Mus musculus: one gene and its partners. The protein of the gene in region 5 interacts with the protein of the main gene of each other region in a pairwise test. Links are inferred from orthologs where the notes say so. Each region holds a gene or a part of one and is shown on either strand. Other genes may lie near its edges. The genes, in order: Sdcbp, Rhoj, Grb2, Rnf8, Wasl, Arpc3 and Nck2.

What was found.
Region 1: the proteins of Wasl (region 5) and Sdcbp interact in binary tests that used the Homo sapiens proteins (3 or more experiments, as listed by UniProt). The two-hybrid records come from large-scale screens. The link is inferred for Mus musculus from reciprocal best matches to the Homo sapiens genes WASL and SDCBP.
Region 2: the proteins of Wasl (region 5) and Rhoj interact in binary tests that used the Homo sapiens proteins (3 or more experiments, as listed by UniProt). The two-hybrid records come from large-scale screens. The link is inferred for Mus musculus from reciprocal best matches to the Homo sapiens genes WASL and RHOJ.
Region 3: the proteins of Wasl (region 5) and Grb2 interact in binary tests that used the Homo sapiens proteins (3 or more experiments, as listed by UniProt). The link is inferred for Mus musculus from reciprocal best matches to the Homo sapiens genes WASL and GRB2.
Region 4: the proteins of Wasl (region 5) and Rnf8 interact in binary tests that used the Homo sapiens proteins (3 or more experiments, as listed by UniProt). The two-hybrid records come from large-scale screens. The link is inferred for Mus musculus from reciprocal best matches to the Homo sapiens genes WASL and RNF8.
Region 6: the proteins of Wasl (region 5) and Arpc3 interact in binary tests that used the Homo sapiens proteins (3 or more experiments, as listed by UniProt). The two-hybrid records come from large-scale screens. The link is inferred for Mus musculus from reciprocal best matches to the Homo sapiens genes WASL and ARPC3.
Region 7: the proteins of Wasl (region 5) and Nck2 interact in binary tests that used the Homo sapiens proteins (3 or more experiments, as listed by UniProt). The two-hybrid records come from large-scale screens. The link is inferred for Mus musculus from reciprocal best matches to the Homo sapiens genes WASL and NCK2.

Annotation. Positions count from the first base shown.
Region 1 is NC_000070.6:6,382,593-6,386,489, forward strand, and holds part of Sdcbp (syntenin-1), read left to right. Parts: intron 1-2,433; coding exon 2,434-2,595; intron 2,596-3,897. UniProt on the Homo sapiens protein: Multifunctional adapter protein involved in diverse array of functions including trafficking of transmembrane proteins, neuro and immunomodulation, exosome biogenesis, and tumorigenesis.
Region 2 is NC_000078.6:75,388,293-75,392,189, forward strand, and holds part of Rhoj (rho-related GTP-binding protein RhoJ), read left to right. Parts: intron 1-3,386; coding exon 3,387-3,551; intron 3,552-3,897.
Region 3 is NC_000077.6:115,649,537-115,653,433, reverse strand, and holds part of Grb2 (growth factor receptor-bound protein 2), read left to right. Parts: intron 1-3,540; coding exon 3,541-3,663; intron 3,664-3,897. UniProt on the Homo sapiens protein: Non-enzymatic adapter protein that plays a pivotal role in precisely regulated signaling cascades from cell surface receptors to cellular responses, including signaling transduction and gene expression.
Region 4 is NC_000083.6:29,628,000-29,631,896, forward strand, and holds part of Rnf8 (E3 ubiquitin-protein ligase RNF8), read left to right. Parts: intron 1-960; coding exon 961-1,023; intron 1,024-3,671; coding exon 3,672-3,761; intron 3,762-3,897. UniProt on the Homo sapiens protein: E3 ubiquitin-protein ligase that plays a key role in DNA damage signaling via 2 distinct roles: by mediating the 'Lys-63'-linked ubiquitination of histones H2A and H2AX and promoting the recruitment of DNA repair proteins at double-strand breaks (DSBs) sites, and by catalyzing 'Lys-48'-linked ubiquitination to remove target proteins from DNA damage sites.
Region 5 is NC_000072.6:24,623,134-24,627,030, reverse strand, and holds part of Wasl (neural Wiskott-Aldrich syndrome protein), read left to right. Parts: intron 1-168; coding exon 169-337; intron 338-1,934; coding exon 1,935-1,977; intron 1,978-2,641; coding exon 2,642-2,795; intron 2,796-3,897. UniProt on the Homo sapiens protein: Regulates actin polymerization by stimulating the actin-nucleating activity of the Arp2/3 complex. Involved in various processes, such as mitosis and cytokinesis, via its role in the regulation of actin polymerization.
Region 6 is NC_000071.6:122,390,203-122,394,707, forward strand, and holds the start of Arpc3 (actin-related protein 2/3 complex subunit 3), read left to right. Parts: upstream 1-1,675; 5' UTR 1,676-1,789; coding exon 1,790-1,795; intron 1,796-2,336; exon of another isoform or gene 2,337-3,109; intron 3,110-4,505. UniProt on the Homo sapiens protein: Component of the Arp2/3 complex, a multiprotein complex that mediates actin polymerization upon stimulation by nucleation-promoting factor (NPF).
Region 7 is NC_000067.6:43,444,198-43,448,800, forward strand, and holds the start of Nck2 (cytoplasmic protein NCK2), read left to right. Parts: upstream 1-1,553; 5' UTR 1,554-1,830; intron 1,831-4,603. UniProt on the Homo sapiens protein: Adapter protein which associates with tyrosine-phosphorylated growth factor receptors or their cellular substrates. Maintains low levels of EIF2S1 phosphorylation by promoting its dephosphorylation by PP1.

The DNA of each region.
Region 1 (3,897 bases), on a different chromosome or scaffold from region 5:
GCCCCAGAGGATATGACATCTTCAGGCATCCACAGAAGTGGCAAATACAGACATATAGATGAATTATATAAAAATAAATCTTAAAAAATTTAAAGTAAAAAATGTAAAGTCAACCAACAGTAAAGTAAAAAGAGGCATGGAGAAAACAAAAATGCTAGTTGCTATGTTTATAGAAAATTTATCTTCTAACAAAGAAAAAAAGCCAATTATAGCTATTATTTCAGTGTATCTGACTTCCTTTGCCCAGGTCTGTATACTTTGATCCCTTTATGTGAGCATCATACAAGTGTCCCCTCCCCATTTGTACATTTCTTGCTTTGAAGGTAATCTGAAGTTACTTTAGAAGTATCTGCATTTATAAGGCTCTGTGGTATACTCTGTTCTTATTCTATCGTTTTGTTTACTTAATTTGTTCTGCACATTTCTCTTAGCATATATTTCACTTAGTACATAATTCACTTCACATACCGTGTAGTTTTTGCTTTTGTGTTCCACTTAGTTTTTCCCCCCAGCTTTATACAGAAGGTATACAGCTTTATACAGCTTTATACAGAAGGTATACTGTACCAGTGAGTTTGGGCTACACCGCTCTGTGCTCTTGTTGGGTTGCATGCTTCCAGCCACACACCCAGGAACTCTTTGGATTCAGGGATGGAACACACACACACACACACACACACACACACACACCCCTCAGTTAATTTTAAAATATCTTGGCTACGTTAAAGGCTGGGTACTCCTAAACCTTCCCCTAGACCTTCCCCTGCGTTTTTCAGCACTTTTGTCTTTTTTGATAGATAATACTTGCTGAGGGGTCTGTTTAAATCCAACATAAATTCAACTTGACTCAAGCACCAGGTTAATGTAGGTGACAAAATTTATTGCAATCAAGCCACTACTGATTGAGTAGCCTGAAAGGATGTTGTAGGGCATATTTAAAGGAAGAAAGCGTAAAGCAGAAGTGCGGCGGGCTGTACCATTGCTCAATCATATTTTGACATAAAGGCTTAGCAAGGGAGTTTTCACCAATTGGAGGAGGTTCTTGGGTCTGTGAACATGAACTTGGTTTGACCCCACCAGCAACATGGAGCAGTTGTCCTGGAGATGTCTGGACGCTTTCAGCTGCTTCCTTTTAATGGAGGCTGTTCAGCTATCGGGAAGTCCCCAGCTCCCCTAGGGTCTGGGACCTGAATTTTGTTTTTCCCTATGATTAAATGGAGTCTGACAATGAAGTGGTAGTACTTGGAGTCAGTCTTGTGCTTGTTCCCAGCACACTGACACACGGGGTGGTGATGTCATCTCTCTGGCTGTGATTCTCTAATGATAAATGATCTGTCACCCACCCACCCTCTTGTTATCTTTGGGAAAAGCTTGTATGTAGGCATTTTGCCCATTTTTAAATTGAGTGTGCTGTTTTTGCTGTTGAGTTTTGAGTTATTTATGCATTTGGATATTTGCCACTTACTACATGATGATTTTCAAATAACTTCTCCCATTCCATGGGCTGCTTTCAGTTTGGTGAATGCTGCTTTTGTTGTGAAGAACTTTTTTGTTTGTTTTGAGATAGGTTTTGAGGCTGTTCTCAAACGACCCACCTCTGGGCCCCACCCCGGCTGTGAAGGATCTCATTAAGTCGGATGTAGCTCTCCTTACATACAAAGGTCATTGAGAGATTTGTCTTGCGTTTTCTCCTAGTTTTATGTGCAGATCTCCACAGTTATGGCTTTGGGAGTCCATTTGGAGCTGACTTACCTTCTGTATGAGATCAGCCACAGTTCTACTGCCCTGCTCTTGGTGCCTCGGTTTTCCTAATCCCAATGTGTACACACGGAGATTTTTGTCAAGAGCAGTTTAATATGTTTTTATGTTGTCTTTTTATTTCATTCCTGACTTAAAGCCTTGTTCATATTAACTTATTTTTAAATTGATAATTTTATGATTATATCACAGAAAATCCCTGAAAAAAGAAAGTTGCAAAAGTCTAGTGTGACGTTTAAGTTCTAGGAAAATATGTTTGAAATCAAGGCAAACTGCAGTGTAGTTGTTGGCGACAGAATATCTTCTGAGAAATGATTCATGCTTGCTTTCCCTGCTGCACCAGCTTCATGGAAGTGCACTTACCCAGTCTAAGGTCGCATGACCTCGTTGGGCAATGCAGTCTTTTGAGACAGCTGGTGTCACTTATGTGGTTGCTAGCTGATGCAGTTCAGCAGCAGATCCCATACACAGGGGTACCAGTTGACTTAAGTAACAAGTCACTGAGTTTTCTCTATCCAAGGGTAATGGGGGAAAGAAAACCACTGGCATTATTGTGGGAATCAGACTTCACTAGAGGGAATTTGTTAATGGAGCAATATTTATAAGAACTGTAACTGAGTGTGTTCCAGTTAATTGCTGTGTTTCTAAATACTGTCAAATTTGTATTTTTCTTAGCAGTTGGTAGCAAGACCATCCAGTGTGAACTATATGGTAGCACCTGTGACAGGTAACGATGCTGGAATTCGGAGAGCAGAAATTAAGCAAGGGATCCGTGAAGTTATTTTGTGTAAGGATCAAGATGGAAAAATTGGGCTCAGACTTAAGTCAATAGATAATGTAAGTATATTTTTGAATTTATCTAAATAGATCACAGAATATTAGTGTCAAATCATTAAAATGAAAATAGTTTGGCTAGCTGTAATAACCCATCTACAGTGGGGAATAATAGTGTGAATCCAGAGTTTTCACTTGGAGACACCGGCTAGACGAAGCCATGCTGGAACTTGCAGGCAGACACCAAGCTTTTCTCTTGATCCTCCTTACTGCAAGGATGCCATTTGCTTATAGAACCATGTGGAAGAGTGTGTGTGATCAGACTCGGGCCCTCACATGAGCCAGCATGTGGGAAAGTAAAGGGAAATGGACCAGTGAGAATTGGGGGTACACTTTTAAACTAAGTGATAATCATTTATGAGATGGTTCTGCAAGTTATCTCTGTCCATAAACTTTGAACTTAAATTATGAACAGGTCTTAGTGATTGAGTCTGTGAATCCCTCCCTTGTCACACTAAAGACATGAAACCAGTTCCTCAGACAACATCCTAAAAGGTTAACGACGTGCTGGGTCTTTACCTCAATTTATCATTTTCTTTTCTCTTCTTTTCTTTTTCTTCCTCCTCCTCCTCTTTCTCCTCCTCCTCCTCTTTCTCCTCCTCTTCTCCCTCCTCCTTCTCCTCTTCCTCCTCCACCATTATCTTACTGGATTCTCTTTCAGTCTAATAAATGTTCCTTAGCTCAGTGATTCCAGCTTTCCACATAGAAAATAAGTATTACATTATTTAACTGAATGAGGCTGACGAAGGCAGGAAAAGCCAACACTGCCTTTCCACTCAAAAAGCTGAGGGCATGATTGTGTGTTGAAGACACATTATAAAGTCCTGACCTCACTGACGCTCGAGTGCAGTGTATTTCAGCAGAGATGCCTTGGAGTCTGTTAGCACCATTCTAGTTTACCTGCTTGGCAGAAGTCAGTGGGATGCTGCCTGTTCATAGTGCTTCATGTCTGGTCCACCATAGACTGTAGGAAAGGTTTCCCTAGCCTTCCTCTTTTCTATTTGTGCTTGGTTCAAAACCTGATTGAATTTACATAAATGTGAATATCCTGTGAGTTTATTGTTAGAGGTACTTCTTGTTTGTTTGTTTGTTTGTTTAGCCCCAATTTCATCGGTTAAGAGGTGAATAAAGTTGTCTTTGACTTAAAAAATTATGGAATTGTTACCCCAAAGTATCACTTAATTGTTTTTATAATTTATTTGTTTCTGTTGAGTGTTGGCTTGCGTATATATCTGTGTAGCACATGCATGCCTGATATCCTTAGAGGTCAGAAAATGATGCCAAATCCCCAGGAACCGGAGTTAA
Region 2 (3,897 bases), on a different chromosome or scaffold from region 5:
AATGGCTTCATGGCTCCAGCACTGTCCCTTTGTGATGAACCTGCTCAAGAACATCTTTCGGGCCCTGGGAATTGACCAGTCTGTCCCACCTCTGTGCAAAGGGAAAACAGATACTCAAAAACCTACATGGCCCCTAATTCCTACCTACCCTACCTTAGCCCAAGTCCTCTTGTGTCCATCCTGGCCCTCCAAAGCACTATCTAGTGGTTTTTATGAGTTAACACACCATCTCTTCAGAAAACACCCAGGCACCGGTTACTCAGAGATGCAGTAGAAGGGTCCTCAGTGCCAAAAGGACCACTTAGCCCTTCCTCGCGGCTGATCGCACCATCTTCACACGTAACATAATCTACACTCCAAGTGTACTTCGCCACAAAACTCATTCAAGCCACCAGCAGGTATGGATTCAACCTCTTGACGTCACCAAGTTCTTTTTTATTAATTCTGCTTCTGCCATACTTCCTAGCCTCAGCCAACAACCAAGGGTGGCAAGCTCCCACCTGCCAGGCATAAACCTTCGTGGAAAGTAACTTTTCCTCTACCATCCTGTTGTTGGATGTTTGATTCTGAGAGCTGCAAGGTTGACGGCAGGAAGAAGGGAGTATGATAACCTGAGACCCTGAAACTGTTTTAGGCTGACTGGGGCATGTGGGGCTTGGATTCCCCAGGAACTTAAGCCTTAGATTTCTGAGACTCTAATGAGCTCTCAAGAGATACCTGTGCTGCTGGTCTGAGGACCATCCTTTGGAAGTTAGTGTAAGAATTCGGATGTAGAGGATCGCCTGGACTTGACATCGGAATTTTCCAGTTCGGTCAGATAAAAATACTCTGCCTTACCAGAGCAACTAAAGGGGGCAGAAGCCTCGGTTCCCATCCGTGGAACTGATATGTGTCTTTTCATTCTCATTCCCTGACTTGATTCCCGGTTCTTAACCTTTATACAGTTCCCGCAGCATCCTTGACAGAGCCACACGTCCAGTAAGTAATCAGTTCTTTTAAACAGACTGACACAGCAGAACTAAGTCCTACAGCAAAGAAATCTAGACTCCGGAGCACAGTGAAGCCCAGAAGCTGAAACCACCAGAAATCCCTGCAGAGGGGACCTGAGCAAATGAACACACCTCACCTCCCCGACTCTATCTTCTAAGCAGCATTTATTCAATGGCTAGCAAATCAAGGAGAAAATAAACACTATCAGTCAGACCACCAGTTATCAGCTCTTCCCTTGCCTGGCTAATCCAGGCTAATCGATTGTTTTGGTTTGGTTGTTGGGGATAGAGGGAGCAGAAGCATTGAGATTTTAAATATACAGTGTCTGCTGCCATCTTGTGGCAACTCGGGGCCAATGCACTTTGTAAAAAAGAATGCATCCCCGCAGTAATAGATTCCTAGATAGCCAATTAAAAAAAAAAAAATCTTAATCTGCCGTCTAAAGTCCCGAGACATGGCGATTACAGTCCCAAACAAAAGTCAGGTCAGGATGCACACATATCTCGATATTCAATAACTCAAGGTTGCATTGGTCCATTACGGACATCTCTACTTTGACCTCCTCTTCTGTGAAATGAAGGCTGAGGGTGCCATCTGTCTAGTGCTCCTGCGCGAACTCCAGGAGATAATACAGTCACTTCTTGTAATAACACCTGGTCCTTGGTAACGATCCCCAGACTCGAGCTCTGGTGGTGAAGATGACGGTGCTAAGCACAAATCAGCTGTCTCCGCTCCAGGCTCCACCCGACCAATCAGTACAGGATTCTTCTACGTCCAGTGCCCCAGAGATTCTGATTTTCTTGGAGGAGGAGGAGCTGCAGAAGCTGCTCGCTTAGAGGTCACTGTAAACCGCACGTTTTAAATTGTTTTAATTTTATTTTATTATTTTATTTGCATGGGTGTTTGTCTACAGGCTTGTCTGTGCAGTACTTAAATGTCTATGCCCCTGGTGTGCAGAAGAGGGCCCTGGAGTTACAGACCTTTGTGAGCTGTCATGTAGGTTTCTGGCCATCAAACCTGGGTCCTCTGGAAGAACAACCTAAACACTCAATAAGCCATCTTTCATCATCCCACATTCCTAAATCCCTAAATCCCACATTTTACGGTGAGTTGTCCTTTCTCATAAAATTAATTGCTGTGGACAGGGTATAGATAGAGGATGAGAAAAACCAATCAAACTGGCCCCGGATCCATTTGTGATGATCTGAGTGGAAAGACAAAATGGCAGAGTAACAAGTGATGTCTGAGATCCCGTCACTCGTGGATCTTAGCACGTGTAACGATTTTCTAAAAGTTCTCCATGCGGCCCTGAAGAAAGCCACCGAAGTCAAAGCCCACAGAAAAGCCGAGGGCTCATCGACAGGCTCGGTCTTGCAAGGTTTCCCTGTAATCACATGATCTTGGAATGGCTCAGAGGTCAGTGTTCCACAACACATACCCATATGTATAATGTATGTATTAACATGTCTAACTGTGTGATGTATGTAGCGTATGGACACATATATAAGAGGAAATGTTTAAGCACACATTACTATTATTTCTATTGGTTATGTGTTACTAAATTCTATTAAAATATAGAACGATTATTTATTGAATGTCCTAAAACTCCTTGGCCACTAAACACCTGGCATTTAACTTGACCACACTGTGGCACTGGGGTACATTAAGGAACAAGTCCCAAACATATTTCTTCAACAGAGGTAATCTCATTTGGCAACAATACTTGTTTTGTACTTTAGCTTACTCTCTGTGTTCAATTTAAAAACAATGTTTAATTGTTGAAGATATTCGTGGGCCAATGACCCACTAATTTAAATACATGTTCCAGACAATGCAACACCAGTGTCCCGGGAGACCTTTATCCCTCCTTGTACTGTCTACGTGGGGGAGTTTCTGAAGACACAGAAGCACAGTAGACAGGTTGTTGCTGGAGGGGCAGGAAGTGGGGAGATATCGGTCAAAGCACAAAGTTACCATTAGGCAGGAATGATAAATTCTAGAAGCTACCATTCACATACAGCTGGAAGGAAGGTGTGGTTATGTAATGGTTATGTGTTGGGAGGCGATTTTATGTGTTTTCATCGTTAAAAATCAATAACTCTGTGAGGAGATGGATTTGCTAACTCCCCCTATCTGTGGTGTAACAAAACATGATGGCTAGACCTTAAACTAATATACAGATAATTATAAAGGAGTGGGTAGACATTATGATGTAAAATTTGTATGTATAAATTTTACCCCAATCAAGCTGGTTGAGTCTTTTTAAGTTGATTGGAAATGGGCAATGTGTGATGAGCACAGCCGCTGCTACTGTGGTCTTTCCCTGCAAGAGTCCCAAGAACCACACAGAGGCTCTGCAAGCAACCTGCGCTAACGCTCCTCTGTTCTTCCCACAGGAGGATTACAACCAGCTGCGGCCACTCTCTTACCCCAACACAGATGTGTTTCTCATCTGCTTCTCTGTCGTAAACCCAGCCTCTTACCACAACGTTCAGGAGGAGTGGGTCCCGGAACTGAAGGACTGCATGCCTCATGTGCCTTATGTGCTCATCGGAACCCAGGTTGAAATGAGGGTGATGGAAGGGTGGGAGAGGGTGACCGAAGGTGTGAAAGAAAGGAGAACCCTGTATTCTATCAAACACCAGGACAGATGCTCAGACATATCGCATCGGTGAGGAGAAGTTCTGAAGGTGCGCAATTATATTTAATAGGAAGGAGAAAGTTTTGATCTGGCCTTTAAGATTATGCTCACAGCTTGTTTTCTAAATAACAAAATAATTATTTAACAGATACTCTTCCCAGCCCTGAATTGATTAATGAAACAAGAGCATCAATTGTACATACTCTCTGATCTTTTTTTTTTTTTTAAAGCTAAACACAATTGTTTCAATACAGCAAAATAGGTGT
Region 3 (3,897 bases), on a different chromosome or scaffold from region 5:
ACACACTATAAATACTGCATTGGAAAATACATCTCCTACTCTTGGCTTCCTTGATTGCTATTTTTAGGACAGCACACACCAATCCAGTCTTTTTTAAAGATTAGCAGAACATTTGTCTGTAGGCATGCAGTCATACATAACTATCATCATTGAAAGAAACCCGACATGCTCTGAGTATAGCTCAGTCAGTGTTCAGGGACTCGCCCAGTGTGCACAAGGCCTTGGCATCTGCCTCTAGCACTGCAGACCAGGTTTTAGAAGCTTATCAGGTTTGTAACTAGCCTGTGAAAGAGTATCGACGACCGGATGCTATCTGCTGTTCATCCCACTGCTGGAAACTCGAGACTGTATACTTAGTGAGCCTGGAGCATACACACAGACACAGATCTGTGAAATGGCTTACAAACTAATGTTTTTGTTCTATTTTAGTTTTTGAAGTATGGCTTCACTATATAACCCAGACAGGCCTTGAAGTTACAGTAATCCTCCTGCCTCTTCCTTCTCAGTGCTAGAATTATAGGTATAAATCTAAAATTAAATTTTTAAAATTTTAAGCTGAAAATAAAATTGTGTTGATTCTTAAGTTGGGAATGAGAAAGCACTGGGGCTCACACAAATGTCGGGTTGATGCCCATAAAGAAAGCCTAGATGCACACACTGCCTGCAGCCAGCAACTCCTGATGAAAGGCAGGGGCATGAGAGAAAGTGCTGCTCTTTATTCTTCCTTAGTGTGCATTTAGGCTACTTTAATTTAAACCCACTGCTTTATAGCTTTAAAGAAAAGAGGGTGAATATGGTCAGAAAGCATTATATGAAATTCTCAAAAGAGTAATTGTTTAAAAAGTATGTACTGAGCCGGGCGTGGTGGCGCACACCTTTAATCCCAGCACTCGGGAGGCAGAGGCAGGCGGATTTCTGAGTTCGAGGCCAGCCTGGTCTACAAAGTGAGTTCCAGGACATCTAGGGCTACACAGAGAAACCCTGTCTTGAAAAAACAAAAACAAAACAAAACAAAAAGTATGTACTGGGCTGGAGAAATGGCTCAGCAGGTGAGAGCACCGACTGCTCTTCCAGAGGTCCTGAGTTCAAACCCCAGCAACCACATGGTGGCTCACAACCATCTGCAATGGTATCCAATTCCCTTTTCTGGTGTGTCTGAAGACAGCTACAGTGTACTCATATACCTGAAATAAATAAATAAAGCATGTGATTGGTGATCGGGGAAGGGAGAGGAAGATGGGTGCTGAGAACATTTGCCCTTCCCTGGTGAGTGTGGAGGTGAGGGAGCTGTCACTGGGGATCAGCCTATGGCCATGACTAGATGCTGCTGGACCATCCATAGAGTGAGCGAAGCTTCTCTGGTCTCTTTTGAGGTGATTCCGTCTGTTGGTAGGGAATTTCCCTGGTGTGGCTGCTCCCTGGGCACTGTAGGCTTCATTCTTAAGCATCTGTAGCAACAGGAAGGTGTCTCCATGGTGTGTGTGGCATCAGAGATGCAGAGTGAGAAGGATTTGAAACCTAGACTTGGGAGTGTTTAGACTCCCGCAGTCTCTGGGCACCCTGCCCTGCAGCTTCATGTCTTTGCCTGAATCTTAGTTTTAATCTGGCAGAATTTTTTTTTAAAAATACTTTGCAGGGTAGTTGTTTATTAAGCCAGCTGTGAGCTCTGCCTGTGGCAAATGCCTATAATTCTCAGGTCTTGGTAGGCCGTTGTTGACCAGACATAAAACCCTGATTCAAAGCAGACACCAGCCTTGGTGGCTTCCTCTTACATTTTCACCTCTCAGATAGCTAAGCAGGAGTGTGGGATTCCGAGGCAGCCATATTGGTGCACAGACTTGTAGGATGGCATGGGCTGCCATATGAGGGCTGCCTCAGAACAGCTTAACAGACCCCAGTAGGGCTACACAGATGTTCAGCAAGCAAGGCACTTGTCACACAAGCCAGGTGACCTGGATTTCATCCCTGGAATTCACAAAAGGCTGTCAGAACAGAATGACACCCCCCACCCCCCAGGGTTGTCTTCTAACCCCCATGTGGATACACGGTGGCTTTAGAAAATGAAAAGATGATTATAAAGTTAGCTTTAGGTGGCAGTAATAACAAATAACCATGAAAACATTATTATTTTATGTATATAGGTGTTTTACCTATGTGTATGTCTCTTTGTCACAGGCCTTCAGAGGCCAGAATTGGGCATCATTCTCTCCGGGAACTGGACTTGTAGGTGGTTGTGAGCTGGTATGTGGGTGCTGGGAACTGAACCCATGTCCTTGGGGCGAAAAGCCAGGACTCGTAAGTGCTGAGCTGTTCCTCTAGCTTGAAATAAAAAATTGTAAATATGATTATGAAAGTTATGTTCTTGGTGAGCATACACGAGGCCTGAGGTTCAGCACCCAGCACCACATAAAACCAGGCATGGTGGGATACACCTATGGCATAATAGCTGTAATGAAATGAGGCTTTGTCACTAATAGACAGTCTGGTACTGTTGTGATTAGTTATCATTGCATGTTTAAATTTTTCAGATACCAGGGCTGGCGAGATGGCTCAGTGGGTAGGAGCACTTACTGCTCTTCTGAAGGTCCTGAGTTCAAATCTCAACAACCACATGGTGGCTCATAACCACCCATAATGTTAGGAGTGGCATGTCTGAAGACAGCTACAGTATACTTATGTATAATAAGCAGGAGCAAGGACTGAGCAAGTGGAGTTGACTGGAGTGAGTGGGGGCAACCGGGGTGGGCAGAGGTCCTAAAAAAATTCAATTCCAAACAACCACATGAAGGCTCACAACCATCTGTTCAGCTTCAGTGTACTATATACATAAAATAAATAATAATTTAAAAAAATTTTTTTTCAGATACCATAAGGTAATGGGCTTTGGTTTTTCGAGACAGTCCCACTGTGTAGTTCTAGCTGTCCTGAAACTATGTAGACCAGGCTGACCTGGAACCAAAGAGATCACCTTTGTCTGCCTTCTGGGTGCTGGGATAAAGGCGTGCATCACTGCCACAACCTAGACTCTAATTCCTCACAATGCAAGCCTCCCTTCTTGCTTTTGCAGAATCCACCCTTCTACAGCTGCGAAGTTGTAGGCCTTCCCAGCCTTTCCCTGCACTCCTATTATGAAATGGCTTTGAAAGGCCTGTCTTCCCTCTGCCCTTATCTTGGGTGTCAGGGCTTTCCTAGGTCCCTCCTGATGAGTGAGAGGCAGGAGGGCTTTGTCCTCAGAAACTGGCTTTCAGACTGCATGTTGGGAATGGTCTCCTTGGAGACTGAAGAGTGGCCTGTGTTGCTGCCTTGAATTATGATCTAGAGTGTGGAGTAAGCGAAGCTGTTTGAAAGCTCCATCTCTCAGGAAGGCCCTGAGCCAGGTAAGAGCCCCAGGGAGCCTTAGGCAGGAGACCCGCAGGTAAAGAGCTCCCCTCTGTCTCTGACAAGCACTCACTACAGGAGCGCTCTCATTTACATGCCAGGTTGTACATCCCGTCTCTTTGTGGGGAAGCAGATGGTGACCAGCTTGCCTTCCTTCCTTAGGTGGTTTTTTGGCAAAATCCCCAGAGCCAAGGCAGAAGAAATGCTCAGCAAACAGCGGCATGACGGGGCCTTCCTGATCCGAGAGAGCGAGAGCGCTCCTGGGGACTTCTCCCTGTCCGTCAAGTAAGTGTTTCCTGCTGGCCTTGCCAGAGAAGCTGCTGCCTTTGACTGGATTGTAAGGCTGTGGGGAAGATGTTAACACATCTTTTCCTGTGGAAATCCTAGTGTTTGCTCTAAGGCCTAGTTGTAGCAGATCTGAGGTTTTAGGTTTGAAGTGTCATGAACCTGGGGGAGCTGGCAGCACTCGAGGCGGCTTAGCCCCACTCCTCACCCGCCCTGCCTTCACTGCAGTTTCTG
Region 4 (3,897 bases), on a different chromosome or scaffold from region 5:
TTTCTTTCTAACCTCTGCTATCTCCTCGAGCTGGTAGGGTTAGCAAAAGCCATGGATGATATAGGTGCCTAAGGGCATGCTTGGCGGCTGTGCATAGCTCCTGCTCCCCTTGTTCAGCCCAGACCACTGTAAATTAACAGAGGGTGGGACTCTCTGTTTAGGGTGTCACACCATCACTGAGCAGAATTCTCTTTAAAGGATAGTGGGTTCAGAGAGGAGAGTGACTGGGATTAATATCCATGGCTACTCTGTGCTGAAGGGACAACTGCGAAGTCTTTCCTGGGACTCAAGGTTAAAGGCAGAAGAGACTGGTTGAGATGCATGCCTGACGCTGCGTGGGAGCTCAGCTCCCTCTGCCCTCACGGTAGCCTGGCCTGACATTGGGTTTGGAATTCTGCTTGGTATTAAAAACCCAACTTTTTTTAATCATTAAGTAATTTGTGCTCCCTATTAGCACATTGGAAGAATGGTTGGCTGGCACATCAAATTCCAAATGAGTTGAAATCCCCCACCCTGTAGGTAATCCCTAAGAACAGAGACTGCCTGAAAGAAGCTGGCGGAAAGGCAGCGGAGGCTCAGGCCTGGGCAGAGAGTGCTTGGAGAGGGTGGGTGGTGCAGAGGGACAAGACAGGGAAGGAGTGTGGGGCCAGCCTTGGGGATGTATCTGAGTTTGGGTGTTTGTGGCTCTGTTCTCAGACTCCATTTATTTGAGTATTATGGCAATAAAAGCAACTTAGACTGTCACCCCGTGGTGCTTCAGAGCTGCCGGAAGCCCACTCCTGAGGCGGGTGATGGTAGTGGAGCAGATAACTGCTCGCATCCCTTGCTGAGAGCAGTTTGAAGTAAACTGGGATCTTCCTGCCCGCTTCCTGCCCCATGTTCCTTGTGGTGCCGGCTCCTAGGTTTTGTTATCTTACACCCTTGACTGCAGAAACCTTCCATTTCGTTTTGGCTTTTCAGGGTTTGGAGAAAGAGCAAGGAGAGTGCGACCTGAAGCAACAGCTGGTGCAGGCCCTGCAGGAGGTAACATAATCTCTACCCTTTCCTTCCAGAGGCTGTGGTGGTTGTGAGTGGGGAGCAGCTAGGCACCACATGGCCACTAGCTGCCTCTGCCTCTGAGCCACTCATCTGTGTTACCGCCAGGCTGCAGACAGAACAGGTGCCAGGTGCTCACACCATCAGGCTGGAGATTTGGAGCTTCACAGATACACAGCAGATCTCAGCGTGGAAGCTTACGGCTTCATCAAGGCACCACCTGGTGATGACAGAAGAGCCTGTAGACGCTCTCTGGGATGGGGACTCTACTTCCAGATTAGTGAGGGCAGCAGTTAGCCATGCCTGGGCCTTAGGGCCCGAGAGAGCCTGTGTACCTCACCATTCCTACACTGTGGCATCCAGAAATCATTCAAGAGGATTCTCCTCTTAAAAAAAAAAAACCCATTAACAGAATAGTGCTTGCTCCTTCTGGTGTGAAGCTCTCCAGCAGACTGCCAGTGGTTTATTTCACTGAACCCTAGTGTTGGGGCCGGCCAGCAGCTCACGTGTCCGGGTTCGAGCCTGAAAGGCATCTTGGAATCTGGAAGAAAAGAGGGAGCCTAGGCGGATTGAGAAATAATGGAACCAAGACAACTATTCTGCTCAAATTTGAACTAGGTTCAAATTTTTAATGGTGGACAAGCTTTATAAAAGACTGGGGAAAGTCCATTCCCGCCAATTCATCCTTGGAGCCTGGAACCAGCTGCAGGTGATGATGTGAGGGATAGGGCGTAGTCTAATAGCTGCGGGGCCTCTCAGCTGGTAGCAGTATCTTGAAGAGGAACAGCGACTGTGGCTCAACAGTCGAGTGATCTAGGGAGGAAGGCTCCACCCTAGATAATCTCCCTAATGGCTGCAAGGTCAGGTTCTGGCTCAGCCTGCTTCAGGTTTATGGGAGGCTACATCCTAGGGCTTGACAGCCTTTTATGTGCTCCTTATACCTTTAAATCTTCCTTCAGCTGGTTATGGAAGCACACACCTTTAACCTCAGTACTCGGAGGCAGAGGCAGGTACATCTCTTGAGTTCAAGGCCAGCCAGGTCTACATAGTGAGACCCTGACTCAAAAAACAACAAAAACTTGCTTCATCTCTGAGCTTTGTGATCAGTAATTTGGTGGATTTTCGGCCGAAAGGTTAGTGAGATGGTTAAAGTCTCATTGAGCACAGTGAGCGGCTTACATATAATTTGTTCAGGGTTCTCTCTGTTTGCTCATTACAGACCTGTCAGCCTTATCGGTACTAACAGTTATGTGAGAGGGAACCTGCCTAGATTTGCTTGTGGGCAGATGCATAAATGGCTTCAGAAATAATTAGGTGAAAATTCTATTTGGATTTTATTTATTTATTTATTTATTTATTTATTATATGCAAGTACACTGTAGCTGTCCTCAGACACTCCTGAAGAGGGAGTCAGATCTCGTTACGAGATGGTTGTGAGCCACCATGTGGTTGCTGGGATTTGAACTCCTGACCTTTGGAAGAGCAGTCGGGTGCTCTTACCCACTGAGCCATCTCACCAGCCCTGGATTTTATTTTTTAAACTTATCTACTTCATGGGTTGAAAGGATAGGCATTGTTCCCATTTGAGTATTTAAATATATGTTTATTTTACTGTCTGTGTGTGTGTGTGTGTGTGTGTGTGTACAAGCATTCACATGGCACTGGAGACTTGGTTGCCAGCACTCAGACAGCTTACAGCCCCTTTAACTCCAGCTTCCGGAGACTGGATACGGTTTTCTTCCTCCCAGGTCGTGTGAACACAGATGGCTTATACTCATACACACACAGTAAATAAAGACATTGTGTGTGACCACGGGTGCTTGTGTACCACAGTATGTGTGACGGGAGCTTTGGGGAGTGGGTTTCCCCCTTCTCCATATGGACTCCAGAAGTCAAACTCAGGTCTGCAGGCTGCACTGCAAACACCTTTACCCAATGAGCCAGCACACTGGCTTCCTAGTGGGTTTTTTTTGTTTTGTTTTTTTCTAGACAGGGTTTCTCTGTGGAGCCCTGGCTATCCTGGAACTCACTTTGTAGACCAGGCTGACCTCGAACTCAGAAATCCGCCTGTCTCTGCCTCTCAAGTGCTGGGATTAAAGGCATGTGCCAACACTGCCCAGCGCTTTCTAGTGTTTTTAAACTACTGCTTAGATGCTTTGAAACTGGCCAGAAAGTCAGGCTTTGCCCCTCTGTGAGGAAGGCCTGGGGTTTTGTGCTCCCTTGTAGCACACCGCACCTGTCTCGAGGCTTGGTCATGCAGTCACGCATCAGTCTGAAGTGGTATCGGGCATACTTTCTGACCTTGTCTGACATCGTGCTTGTGCTGGTGTGGATGACCCCTCTGAAGATACTCTCTTTTTCAGACTGCTAGAACTGTAGAACCCATAGTCACAGTGACACCACTGCTGGCTCTTGGGCGTGCCAGCTCGTAGACGACAGTGGCTGGTCTAATCGATCTGCTGTCCCCTCTCCCCTGTCCTGAGCCGTCCATCCTGAATAAAAGAAGGCTGGTTTTGAAATTGTCATCACTGGTCCCTAAAGTAAAGCGACCGAGCAGAGGGAGGAAGCAAAGGTGTATGGCTAACAAGAGGGTTGGGACGCAGCTCATCCTGATGGCTTACCTGCTCTTTCTGTAGCATCAGGCTCTAATGGAAGAACTAAATTGCAGCAAGAAGGACTTTGAGAAAATCATTCAAGCCAAGAACAAAGAATTGGAGCAGACCAAGGTACGGGATGGAGGACAGAGTGCAGTGCCTGTGGCCCAGCATTCTGTAGAGTGCGTGGTTGCTGTGGTGAATGCAGACGGTGTTCCTTACCTCTGGGAGATAATCTATAGTTACTCACTGTGAGGCAGCATCCCTG
Region 5 (3,897 bases):
ACAAAGGATCACTTTAGTTAAGTTTTATATATAGATCAGTGTACTTTATAAGATTTAATATTAAGTTGTAAGTAAGCAGCCATAGGTTAAGTAAGTTATAAGTTATGATTCCATAAAATTATTTTCATAAATTATATGCCTCTCATACCATTTTGACTCTCTTTGTAGGTCCCAATCTACCCATGGCTACAGTTGACATAAAAAATCCAGAAATCACAACAAATAGATTTTATGGTTCACAAGTCAACAACATCTCCCACACCAAAGAAAAGAAGAAAGGAAAAGCTAAAAAGAAGAGATTAACCAAGGCAGATATTGGAACACCAAGTAATTTCCAGTAAGACTCATCTTTTGTGTTCTCATCATTTAAAAAAAAAAAGTAAAAAAACTGATCTTGCTATACTGCCTAGGCTGGCCTTGTGTTTGGGATCCTCGGCCTCAGCTTTCAGAGCAGTATGTGGGATTACAGGTGTGCACTACTGCACCCAGCTTGATCTTCATTCTTTTTGTGTACTCTGGACTGCTCTGAATTTTTAGCTTCTTATACAATTTTGGTTTAAGAGGTTCTTGTTGTTTGGAGCTAAGATGAAAGGATGGGCTATCCGGAGACTACCCCACGTGGGGATCCATCCCATAATCAGCCACCAAACCCAGACACTATTGCATATGCCAGAAAGATTTTGCTGAAGGGACTCTGTTATAGCTGTCTCGTATGAGGCTATGCCAGTACCTGGCAAATACAGAAGTGGATGCTCACAGTCATCTATAAGATGGAACACAGGGCCCCCAATGGAGGAGCTAGAGAAAGCACCCAAGGAGCTAAAGGGGTCTGCAACCCTGTAGGTGGAACAACAATATGAACTAATCAGTAACCCCAGAGCTTGTGTCTCTAGCTGCATATGTAGCAGAAGATGGCCTAGTAGGCCATCACTGGGAAGAGAGAACCCTTGGTATTGCAAACTTTATATGCCCCAGTACAGGGGAATAACAGGGCCAAGAAGTGGGAGTGGGTGGGTAGGGGAGCAGGGTAGTAGAGGGAGAGTATAGGCAACTTTCAGGATAGCATTTGAAATGTATATAAAGAAAATATCTAATAAAAAAACGAGGTTCTTTGTTTTCTGTTGTTGTGGTAGAAGAGTCAACATAAAAACAACTTACAGGAGTAAGTTTATTTTGGTTTCTTTTCTAGAGAGGAGGTCAGCCATCGTGATGGAGAAGCTTGGCTATAGGAGTATGAGAGCCGCCTGGCATTGGGATGCAGAGAGAACAGGAAGTGGGGGTGGGCTATAAAACAGTCTGTCACCAGAGATACATGCTCCTAGCAAGGCTCTACCTCATAAAGGTTCTGCCACCTTCCCAATGACACCACCAGCTAGGAACAGAGTGTTCCAATACATGAACCTATGGGGAACATATATCCAAAATATGGGAACCATGTATATGTTCATCTGTTTTGGGAATTTGGTGGGGTTTTTGTGTTATTGTTGTTGTTTCTATTTTGCACAGAGAGAATGAATGGATTAGGAAAAAGTAAGAACTCCAAAGGAGCTGGCTTCCAGGGAAGAACACCCATGTGTAGTCCTTTCTAATGGTTGGAGACATCTTGAGACAGTTGTATCTTCTGGGTCACCCAAGCTGGCCTAGAATTCCAAGTCTGTAGGCATATGTATACAACAAGCCAGTCTTGTGTCATAAATCTGACAGTTTACTTTTCTATCTGAAAAAATTAGATGTAATTATTTTTTTATTTAATTCTTGAAAATAAAGGGATTTTTTTTCCACTTTGATGTATAATCAGCAGGAGGATACCTGTAAGACTTGTCTAGAAGCAAAAGAAATTGAGCTGTATGCAGCACATCTCAAGTATCTTTATGCATTATTTCACAAGCCCTTGTCTGCATTTGTTTTCTAATTTTATCTGTTTTCCATGTTAGGCACATTGGGCATGTTGGATGGGATCCAAATACAGGTTTTGATGTAAGTATCTTTTTAAGCTATATTTCCTATTGCTCAAAATATATAGGAATGCTATGGCTTATCTTGGACTTTTTTATTTACAGTTTTTAAAATATTGCTTATTAGAATTTGAATGTGCTATATGCTGCTGAGGTTTGAATTCATAGTATTGTTCTGTCATAGTTGCTAAGTCCTTTAAGGGAAAATTTTTGTATTCCTTCATTTTCTGCTTTGAATGCATAGAGAAAAAAGTGATTTTTCTTTTTTTTTTTTTAAGTAATGATCTCAGAAGAATATCAAATTTTGGAAAAATAAGTACAAATTCTTAGTATCTAGTTATAAAATAACCCAGTTTGTTTCTAAACTGAGATTAAACTTTGAGGTACTACCAAGGACCTCTGGGCACAGCAAAGAGGTGGAATAGATGAACACAAGAACTGGTATTGAGTGGGTTAATAAAAATATGAATAGAATGCCCTCTTTGACAGCGTGGAAGAGAGATGAAATACAATAGAAAATCTCTCATGTTTATCTTTCATAATAGAAAATTTAGTGTTAGCATTTAAATCACATAACCATTTTAAAAGTCTGAGTTTAATTTCAGAAGGACACAGGTAAATTATAAGTTTTGCCATGATTGTTTTGAACACAATTGCCTACTTAGAAGTTGTTTTATCTGTTGTAGCTAAATAATTTGGATCCAGAATTAAAGAATCTTTTTGATATGTGTGGGATCTCTGAGGCCCAGCTTAAAGACAGAGAAACATCAAAAGTTATTTATGACTTTATTGAAAAAACAGGAGGTGTAGAAGCTGTTAAAAACGAACTCCGAAGACAAGGTAACTTTGGATCTATTTTGACTGTTTTTCCTTTTAAATTTTCTAAGATTAGCATCATGGTGAACAACTATGCACCCCTCCTTGAGCAGAATCTTTGAATGTATGGATGACAAATTCAGTCCAGTGTCACTACATCTTTGCTTACTTTGGTATGACAAAAGCCTTGAGCCAGGCAAGGGACGACGATGACCTCTACCCAGCACCTGGGAGGAGGAGCAGGCATATTTCTGTGACTTTGAGGCCAGCCTGCTCTACATGGAGGGCTACCTAGATAACTGCATCATGAGACCTTGTCTTCAAACAGACCAAAGCATGATGTGATTATTAATGTAAAGGTTACCGTGTGATCTCTTATAAAACATTTCAGAATATAAATTATTTAAACTCTTTCTATTTTGAAATACAGATTTTCTTTTTTTCTTTTTTATATTTCAAGAACCTATTATACATTAAAAATGATTTTATCTTGTTTATATTTTATTTGTAATTATGTGTTTCTATATTGTGGGGGTAGGGAGTGGTTTTGCCTATACGTGCAATACTTGCAGAAGGAAGAAGAGGACATTGAATCCCTGAGAACCAGCATTTCATCAGTCAGTTGAAAGCTGTCCAACATTTTTTTCCTAAGAACAAAAAGATAAATTAATGATTTATTTTTTTTAGAGCGAGCACATACATAAATTAGTATTCAAAGGTATGAAAACAGAATAGAGAGATTAATAAAATTTGTCTTAACCTACTTAATTAGTAAATCTTTTTTCATTTATTTTATAAAATCATAAAATTAGATTTATAAAGACACGCAAATTTGTGATTTCCATCATATCCCTGTGTGTAGCTCCTTAAGTATTAAGTCCATTAACTTATAACAATCTGTTCTTCAGGTCCACCACAGTGGAGTGGTATGTATGTGGAACAGTGTGTGGACCACTACGCTGAATTTTGCATGATTTGCTGTGTTTTTTGGAGTAGCTAGAATTTATATGTCCTGCCTTCAAAAACTAATGTTTTGAGCTTGAGCATAAAGGGTTTTGTTTTTGTTTTTTGTTTTTTTCTTTTAATGTTTGTATGTTTGTATTTTTTTGGTTTTTTGATTTTCAAG
Region 6 (4,505 bases), on a different chromosome or scaffold from region 5:
CAGGCCTGGTGTGGGAATGGGCTGAGCTGCCTGTGGCCTAGGAGTACGGGATGGCTGAAAATATCCTGGTCTCTGGTCTCTGGACTCCCATTAACAGGTTCCCAGGCATGGTGGCGCACACCTTTAATCCCAGCATTCAGGAGGCAGAGGCAGGCAAATTTATTGAGTTCGAGGCCAGCCTGGTCTACAGAGTGAGTTCCAGGACAGCCAGGGCTACACAGAGAAACCCTGTCTCCAAAACCCAAGAAAGAGAACATGTCTAATGTTAGTTCTAAATACTTTTCTTGTAGCTCATTTCAGCCTCCCTAAGCAATGAGGTAAATACTGAGGCCTCTATATTTAGGTGAGGAACAGAGGCACAGAGAGGTACATTAAGTTGCTCAGAATAACACAGCTAGTCATGTTGGAACTAGGATTCAACCCCAGGACCTGGCTCCTCAGCAGTCATACAAAGAACAGGGAGTATAAGCCAGACATTGTAGAGACCAGCCTGGGCTACATAGTTAATACCTTGTCCAAAAACAAAAAGTGGTTGGCTGGGTATGGTGGTTACATATCCCCTCAGTCTCAGTACTTGGGAGGCAAGGCAGGTGGATCTCAAGAGTTCAAGGCCAGCCTGGTCTACAAAGCAAGTTTCAGACTAGCCAGGGCTACCCAGAGAGGCAAAATACATACTTACATACATATATGATGGGTGTCAGTGGTGGGTTTGTAGTCATCCCCTCAGACATGTGGCATCACTCAGGCCCTTATAATATGCTTGGTTTTCATGACCACTTAGTCCTTGCCATGATCTGGGAAGACATACACCATACCTTGTTGAAAGAGTAGAAATGATATACACATTTAGTGGGTGACAGACAGGTCAAAGGGGTAGGCTCAGGACTTTTCTTTCCTTTACCCCTGTGGTGGTCCCTGACTGTCTTAACATGACAAGGAAGATAGACACCACCGTCGGCATCATAAAACTAAGCAAGAAAAATAAATAAAAATAACAGGAGTGATGGGCACATATCTGTAATTCCTGAACACAAGTGGGTGCAGATCAGTTCATATTCATTTATATGTATATGCCAGCCTGGACTTCATGCGACTCTTAGCAAAGAAAAAATTGAAAAATAAAAAATATTGGCCGCCAAGACGGCTCAGGGTGTAGGTGTTTCTGAAGACTGTGTTGGTTCCGAGAGTATCACGGTGGAAAGTGAGAACTGATGTCCCCCACCTTGCATTGTGGTAAAAGTACAAAACTAAGCCAGGTGTGGTGGCGCACGCCTTTAATCCCGGCACTCGGGAGGCAGAGGCAGGCGGATTTCTGAGTTAGAGGCCAGCCTGGTCTACAGAGTGAGTTCCAGGACAGCCAGGGCTACACAGAGAAACCCTGTCTCGAAAAACCAAAAAAAAAAAAAAAAAAGTAAAAAACTAGACATAGCAGAAGGGTAAATCAGGCGACTGAGTGGTACTGGATTTGAAGCTGAAGCCGGGAAATGAGAAAAAAAACCCAAAAAACAAAACCGGGAGCTGATTATTAACCACTTGCGAGGGAGTCTTCAATTTCAAAATCCAGCCTTTTATTCTGAACGTGCTTTATGCATGCGCCACGGTCATCGCCTCACGCTGACGCGCCCCCTGGCGTCACTTGCGGTCAGCGCAGCCGGAGCAAGTCACCGGAAGTGCGTTTATTCCTTCCGCCCGCCTCTTCCGGCTTACTTCCGCCCACTCCACCCAGGCTCGGTCGTCGGAAACGCTTTCTGAGTTCGGCTTCTCTGGATCGAATCCGGACACCGTCAAGATGCCGGTAAGCATTCGAGCCCCAGGGGCGGGGAGCCGAGCGGGGCGAGGGTCCGAGGGGTGGCAGGAGATCTGTGTCATAAGGCCGGGGAGAGAGGAAGCGTCCGCCCTGATCTCCAGCCTTTGCCTCCAACACCGGCTCGCCTGCCCCGCCGCTTCCCCCCTAACCCTGCCGTGTTCCCAGATCCCACCCTAGAGCCTCGAACCTAAGAACGATGGCTGGCTTTTAATTTATTTTTAAGTCTAAGGTCCAGCTTCTCCTTTTTTTTTTTTTTTTTTTTAAATTTCCCCCTTGTCATTTCCACTTCCTCCTCCACCCCAGGGAGTGGGATCGGCCTGCTACCTAGTCACCTGTCAGACCTCACTTCCCTGATGGACCCCTTCCTCCGTCTCCCTGCTCTGACTCCCACCCGACTCCCTGACCACCACCGAGCCAGCGCTGGTTTCCTTTTTCGTGTGCATCCGAGTGGGAGGAAATTGATGCCGATTGCAGCTTAGCGAAGGGACGCTTGAATAGCGTGCACCCACACTGAACCAGTGTTACTGACCTCTCGCTGTGAAGCCAGCATTGTTGACAGCAGCGACTAAGGGCCACTCAAGGAGCTCACAGTTTAACGGGTAGACAGTAACCATGCAAATGCACATAGGAAGTAGTTTCCTATCTTAACAACTGCTGTGACGAAAACAGATAGATGGCAGTTAGCCTACCCCTATCGCTCAGTTATCGCTCATCCCAATACCGAGGCAGGAGGATGGCAAAGTTCAGGCCAATGTGGACTATGTAGTGAGTTCTAGGCCATCCTGGGCTACAGAACTGCAAAGCCTGTCTCCCAAGAAATGGGGGAAGAAAAAAAAAAAAAAAGAGGCTTGCATGCAGGAGGTGGGGTCACAAGGTACAGCAGCTCATGCCTGTGACCCCAGCTCTGGGGAGGCAAAGGACAGGCAGATCTTCTGGCTTATTGGCCAGCCAGCCCAGCCAAAAATAAGCAAGTTCTGGGTTCAATGAAAGACGATGTCACAGGAAATAAATATATATATAGAGAGAGATAGTAGGGGCTGAGGAGGTGTCTCAGTGGTACAAATGAGAGGACCTGAGTCTGGATGCTTAGCACCCAAGTAAAACAGAAGGGGCGGGGGGAGGGCATGCAAAGCGTGTCTGCAGTTTCGGAGCTGGGGATGTGTAGAGTTCCCTGAGGCTCCTTGTCTCAAAAATAAAGTGGAAAGCAGTTAAGAAACAGACCTATGGCCTCCACCTGTGGATATGAGCATACATACCTACATGCACACATATGCACACACGTGAACATGAACACTACACACACACACACACACACACACACACACATGTACACATGCATGGTCATGTGCAAAATAAAACTAAAAACAAAAACCAGTACCTGGTGACAGGGATTGGGAGAACAGGGGACCCGGGGATGTGGGCAAGAGGCTGGCATAAATAAGGCTTATTTATAATGAGTAGGAGAGCAAGCCTAACTTTGAACAGTGTGCATGTGTTTGAGTAGCAGTGGGGAATTGACCCCAGGGCCTCATGGCATGCTACATAGATGCTCTACCACTGAGCAGTATTCCCCCATCTTTTTTACTTTTGAAAAGGGGTCTTATAAAATTGCCCAGACTGGCCTTGTAGTTGTGATCCTCCTGCCTCAGCCTCCTAGGTAGCCAGGATGACAAGCCCGTCCGGCATCACCGTGTTTGGCTTTGGAAGATTCATGATTCCTATAGTTAGTATATGTGAAGACCCAGAGTTACTGTCCAAATGAGCCCCCGCATCTCCGGATGACACTGTCTTCCAGAGGTCTTGAGTTCAGTTACTAGCACCCACAGGGCAATTTACTACCTATAATCGGATCTGATGCCCTCTTCTAGTATGTAGGCATACAGTTTTCTAAAAATGATGTGGCATGAAAGTTTTTAGTAGGTGGGGCAGATTTATAGAATATTGGCTTTTGAAGGGTTGTTTACCATTAATGGAGGGAAATTCCCAGCATTCTCAAACTACCCTTTAAGAGCACTGGAGTTTTGTCCCCAGCATCCACATCCAGCAGGTGCCAGCTGCCTATAAGTCCAGCTCCAGGGACCCCAGCACCATCTGCTGGACTCTGTGGGTACTGCATACACACAGAAATACCCGTCCACAGATATAGTGCACACACATAATATATTTTTTGTTTTGTTTTGTTTTTGTTTTTTTGAGACAGGGTTTCTCTGTGTAGCCCTGGCTGTCCAGGAACTCACTCTGTAGACCAGGCTGGCCTCGAACTCAGAAATCCACCTGCCTCTGCCTCCGAGTGCTGGGATTAAAGGCATGCGCCACCACGCCCGGCTATAAGATATTTTTTAATCTTTAAAAAAAAAATCACGCTGAGCAGTTGGTAGCATGCACATTTAATCTCAGCACTTGGGAGGCAGAGGCAGGCAGATTTCTGAGTTCGAAATCATAGGACCAGCATTTGAGATTGTTCATCCACACAGTTCCCTCTCCTTTAGCTCATACGCACTCACCAAAGGTGTGGTGTATCTTGCTCATTTATAAGTTTAGAAGCAGACTGGTGGGAACTGGAGTAGAGTTGAGTTGGTAGAGCATTCGCCTGTCATGTCTGAAGCACTAGGTTTACTCGCCAGTACTGTGGTTATCTAGATCCATCATCCCAGCAATGGGAGACAGAGGCAGGAGCGTAAGAAGTTCAAAGTCATCG
Region 7 (4,603 bases), on a different chromosome or scaffold from region 5:
GTAGCAGCCAGGCATGTTGCTAGGGAAGTAGCTGAGAGCTATACTCTGATCCACTGTGCAGCAAGCACACAGACACCCAGACACACAGGTGCTGGCTAAGTTCAAAGCTTACTCCCAGTGACTCATCTCCTCCAACAAGGACATACCCTCCTAATCTAAATAGTTTACTAACTGGCCTGCAAATATATGAGCCAAGGGGAGTCCTTCTTGTTCAAATCTCCCTGGAGATCTTATACAGAATCAGTGAGAGGAGTCTGAGGCCACTTTTCAAAGCAAAAGCTTAAAAACTGTGTCCATATCGTCTTACTTATTTAGCATAAACTAATTTTAAGTAGGGCTAAACTATTGGTTAGAGTTCTGCCTTCATTGTTGTAAAGCTAGATAGTAACAAAGATGAGGTCTGTAACAAAGAACGGATGAAGCTAGCATCTCCGACTGGAAGAGACTGTTGGGTGTGCTGATTTTGTACAGGATGCCTCCTAGTGCCCTCGTGTCAGGCTACGTGCCAGGTACTTAACATAGAAGGCAGGTAAACATCTCATGTGATAAAGCCGAGGAAGTTGTGAAACACCTGTGTAAGGTGACACAGTTCAGGAGCCTACGGTCAATGGCTGCGAGGACTATAGCCAAGCTTCCTCACGTTACTTATGCCTGGGAACTTCCTATAAGAAGGCAGGCAACTTTTCTTTCTTTCTTTTTCTTTTTTTGTTACGTAGGGTGAATTGTTTCTGCCTTAATAAGGAGGAAACAAGGGCTAGGGTTGAATCTCATTAACATAAATGTGAGTCGTCCGACCTGAAAGCGGAATTTATTTGAATATCAGGGGTTCCTTTGGGGTATAAGGAGCGAAGGAGCTTGGAGAAGAAACCTCTGGATCCAGTCCTTCTCTTCGATCCAGGGTTCTAGCTTTCCAAGTTTGCTTATAGGTTAGCTACTACTCAAGTCTGGGAGAGCAAGGTTTCCTTCTAAAGCTTTCTCAGCCTCCTGTACTAAAGAATTCCTGGGCTCTAATAAACTGGCCAGGACGCTGCGGAGGCAGCTGAGGTCGGGTTTCCTCTCCTCCCCCACTAGGAAGTGGTCCCGCCTGGAGGTTGGGGGTGGGGGGGATGGAGTAAAAAAGTGTCTGGATGGGAAAGTAAATAAATGCAAGGCAAATAAATAAAGAAAATGCCCACAAGCAATTACTGGGAGGAAGTGACATTTTTATGTAAGTCACTTTTCTGACAGACACCAGGCCTGTTTGGCTGAGAGTGCCGTGGGAATGCTTGGGGGGCGGGGTAGGGAGGTCGCTGTAAGGCTCCCGACGCACAGCCGGGTGCGGAGACCACCCGGTCTCGTGGGCTGCAAGTGGCACCTCCTTATCCCTAGCAGCCCCTCCCGGGTGCCCCCAGCTCCAATCTAGAGCGGGTTACGGCTTGAAGCCCCCAGGCGGCGCTTTCCCGAGGCCTGGCTGGGACTCCCAGGTGGGTCCCCCGCCCCGCGTGCGCCGGGCTGGGCCGGCCCCTGGGCGGCGTCACGGCAGCCAGGGAGGAGCGCGGGCGGGGAGCGCGCGGAGGCGGGCGCTGCGCGGGAGGGTCGCCGCCGCGGATCGCAGGCCGGTGCGCGCGGCCGAGCGGGCGGCGGCGGCGACGGTGGTGGTGAGGAGGGCTCGGCGGCAGGCAGGCTCGGGGCTCCCGGGCCGGCGGGGTCCGCCGGGTCCAATTGCGTCCGCTTGGTGGCGGGAGGAGGGAGCGGTGCAGACAAAGAGCGGCATCTGGGCGGGCGCAGCGCGGCCGCCGCCCCGGGACTCGCGCTGCTGCCCTCCGGCCTCGGCGTGCACTGTGCGGCGAGGTAAGGCGATGGCGGGGGCTGCAAACTTGGGCCGGTCCGTGGAGTTGGAAGAGAGGGGCGAGCGGGCCGCGGCCGCCCGGGGAGGGCCAGGGAGCGCGTACCCCTGCGTACCCGGCCGGTGCCCTCAGCCCCGCCGCGGCCTGGCGTCCCCGGGCACCCGCACCTCGGATACACACACCTTCCTGCGAGCCCTCGCCTCCCTCTGCCTGGGGCTGGCGTGGGGGTGGGGCGCCCTCCGCGGGCGGACTCCGGGGACCAAGGACCCAAAGCCCTCGGGAACACTAGCAGCCCTGGCCTGTGGGCGGGCGTGGGACCGAACAGTGGCCAGGTCGCCGGGCGCGCGTGCCTGGGAAGAATAGCCTGGGATCTGAGGGCCACAGCGCTAGGAAGCGGGAGGCTGCGATGGCCGGGGAGAACTTCCAGTATTTAGAACTATTCGTGATCCGGCACAAAGCTGCTGTCACGTTCCATAAAGGAGGTCCTTGCCTCGGCGCAGGGCGCTTTTGTGCCTGGTTCCTTCCAGTCCCTGCGCCCGGTCCCGCATTTCCAAGACTTAAACCTCCTCAACCAAAGTTTTTCCCGGTTGCTCTGCCCCCTCAGTTTATTTATTCAGGGCGATTTAAGCAAGTGGTTCTGCAAGAATTTGATGTGTGACTTTTAATGCCCCGGTGGCACCTCCCTTTTGAGCGCTGTTAGCTTGGCATTGTGTGGAGAGGTTTGATTTGCAAAACGCTGTTATTTATACACAACAGCGATCCTCCCGGAAGGTGTGCGCGGGTGGTGGTTAATGGATAGCAGAGGTGACTTACAGTAGTATTGTGAACAGCTTGGGGACACAGCTGGGTGCCAAGTGGAGTGGGCCCTGCCACCCTAACCCATTCAGGTTGGCCGCTTCCTCCTTATTTGGCTCTCCTTATTTTGCTAACAGGTTTAAGGCCAGTCTTGCCAAGTTTGCGTCTGTGTGTGGGATGAACAGGTCCGAGTTTGGGCTGGAGGTGCACAGGCCTGCTCCTTGGTTGACCCAAAAAGAAACAGCCCGTTGGCCAGTGGGCGTGGCTTGCTGGTATCCTCCCCTGGAGACTTCTCTGCTCCTCTCCCAATACAGGCTTTTCTGCAGAGATTTTGAGGAGGAATGAGAATAATTTTGGGTGTGTTTCCAGCCTGGGTTTTTTTTTTTTTTTTTTTTTTTGGTATAGTTAGCAACTGTGGTTTTTCTAGTCTAAAGGTCACTACTTTATCAGAACATCTCAACTGTGCTGTGGGCACTCCCTCCATTCACTTTCCAAGTGTTTATAGATACAGAGGTAGAAACCGGACTTTCTCGTGCATGTGCCTGGTTTATGTAGCGAAGGCAGCCAGTGAACACAATGGAGAAAGTGCACTTTAGACAGATAAGGTTTTACACCTTCGGGTCTTTCCTAAGTGACCACAAGTGACAATCCTCCCTTAAACTTTCTCACCTCCTGGTAGGTTAGCGTAGTTTTGATTGAAGAACGTAAAGGTCCCAGTGACCTGAAGCTGAAATGAGAACTTTGTGCAGCTGTAAAGCTTTGACTTACAGCTTACTGCCTGTCTTGCTCTCAGTTTCTTACACGTGCTTGAACAGAGCCCCAGTTTCAGGGTTGGAAGTTGCTATGTGAGCTCTGGACACTTGATAGGCGATTTGCCCACCGATGGAGAGACGACTGACCCCCTTTAAAATGGGTCGAACTTATAAAAGGTGGTTTCCAACTCCTTGTAGGCTCTTCAGTCCATTTCCAGGCTTTCAGTTTTGCTTTCCCCATGGGTCCTTGCTTCAGTCTTCTTCCTCCCTTTCTCTTTGATCCGGGCTTATTCCTGACCTCTGTCTTGAACATTGGGGTACTGAACATTGCTGACAAACAGCAGCACCCAGGTGTTTGAGAAATGTGCTCTCATCCTTGCTAAATCTCTCCAGAGCTTTCCTTGTTGGAGCAGACCGAATGACCCCTTGAAAACAGCCCGATAGTCACTGATTGCATAGTGACCTGTAGTCCTTTATTTGATCATTTGCATTAGCTTAATTTGCCCTGGCAAGACTGGGCTTGGTTGCTTTGTAGGGCACACATGCTTCTAACTGACTGGCTTGCAGTGTGCACTGGGGCTGATGAGGCTCGTGGAAATGATTTTCTGATGTTCATAATGAGCCTTAATGACTGAAGAATTCAAGACTGCTTGTTGCAAGTGCAGAGCAGTGTAGGGAACAGTGGTTGGGGAAACTTGTAAGCTAACATTTCTTACAAAAGGACCGGGAAGCTTCCCATAGAGACTTAGGAAATTCATTTTCCCATCCAGAGGGACTTCAAATGTTGCTTTGGAATTGTTTCTCTTTCCTAAAAAAATGAGTGATAGAAACATTTCTCAAGGTGTTTTCAAAGGACATATGTGAAAAAACAATGATGCCATTTGTGTGCTGTTCTGTGTAAGTTAGGCAGCCTTTTAAAACAAGCTATCAGAGGTATGCAGCCATGGTGTTTTTTGTTTTTTTTTTGTTTGTTTGTTTGTTTGTTTGTTTTTTCGAGACAGGGTTTCTCTGTGTAGCCCTGGCTGTCCTGGAACTCACTTTGTAGACCAGGCTGGCCTCGAACTCAGAAATCCGCCTGCCTCTGCCTCCCGAGTGCTGGGATTAAAGCCGTGCAACACCACGCCCCGCAATGCATTTCTTTAGGCAATCAGAGTAGTGTAATTTTTAAAAAGACTTTTAATTTTCAGCAATTCACTTTGCACAAAGCACAGAGAACATGATGGTAAGAGA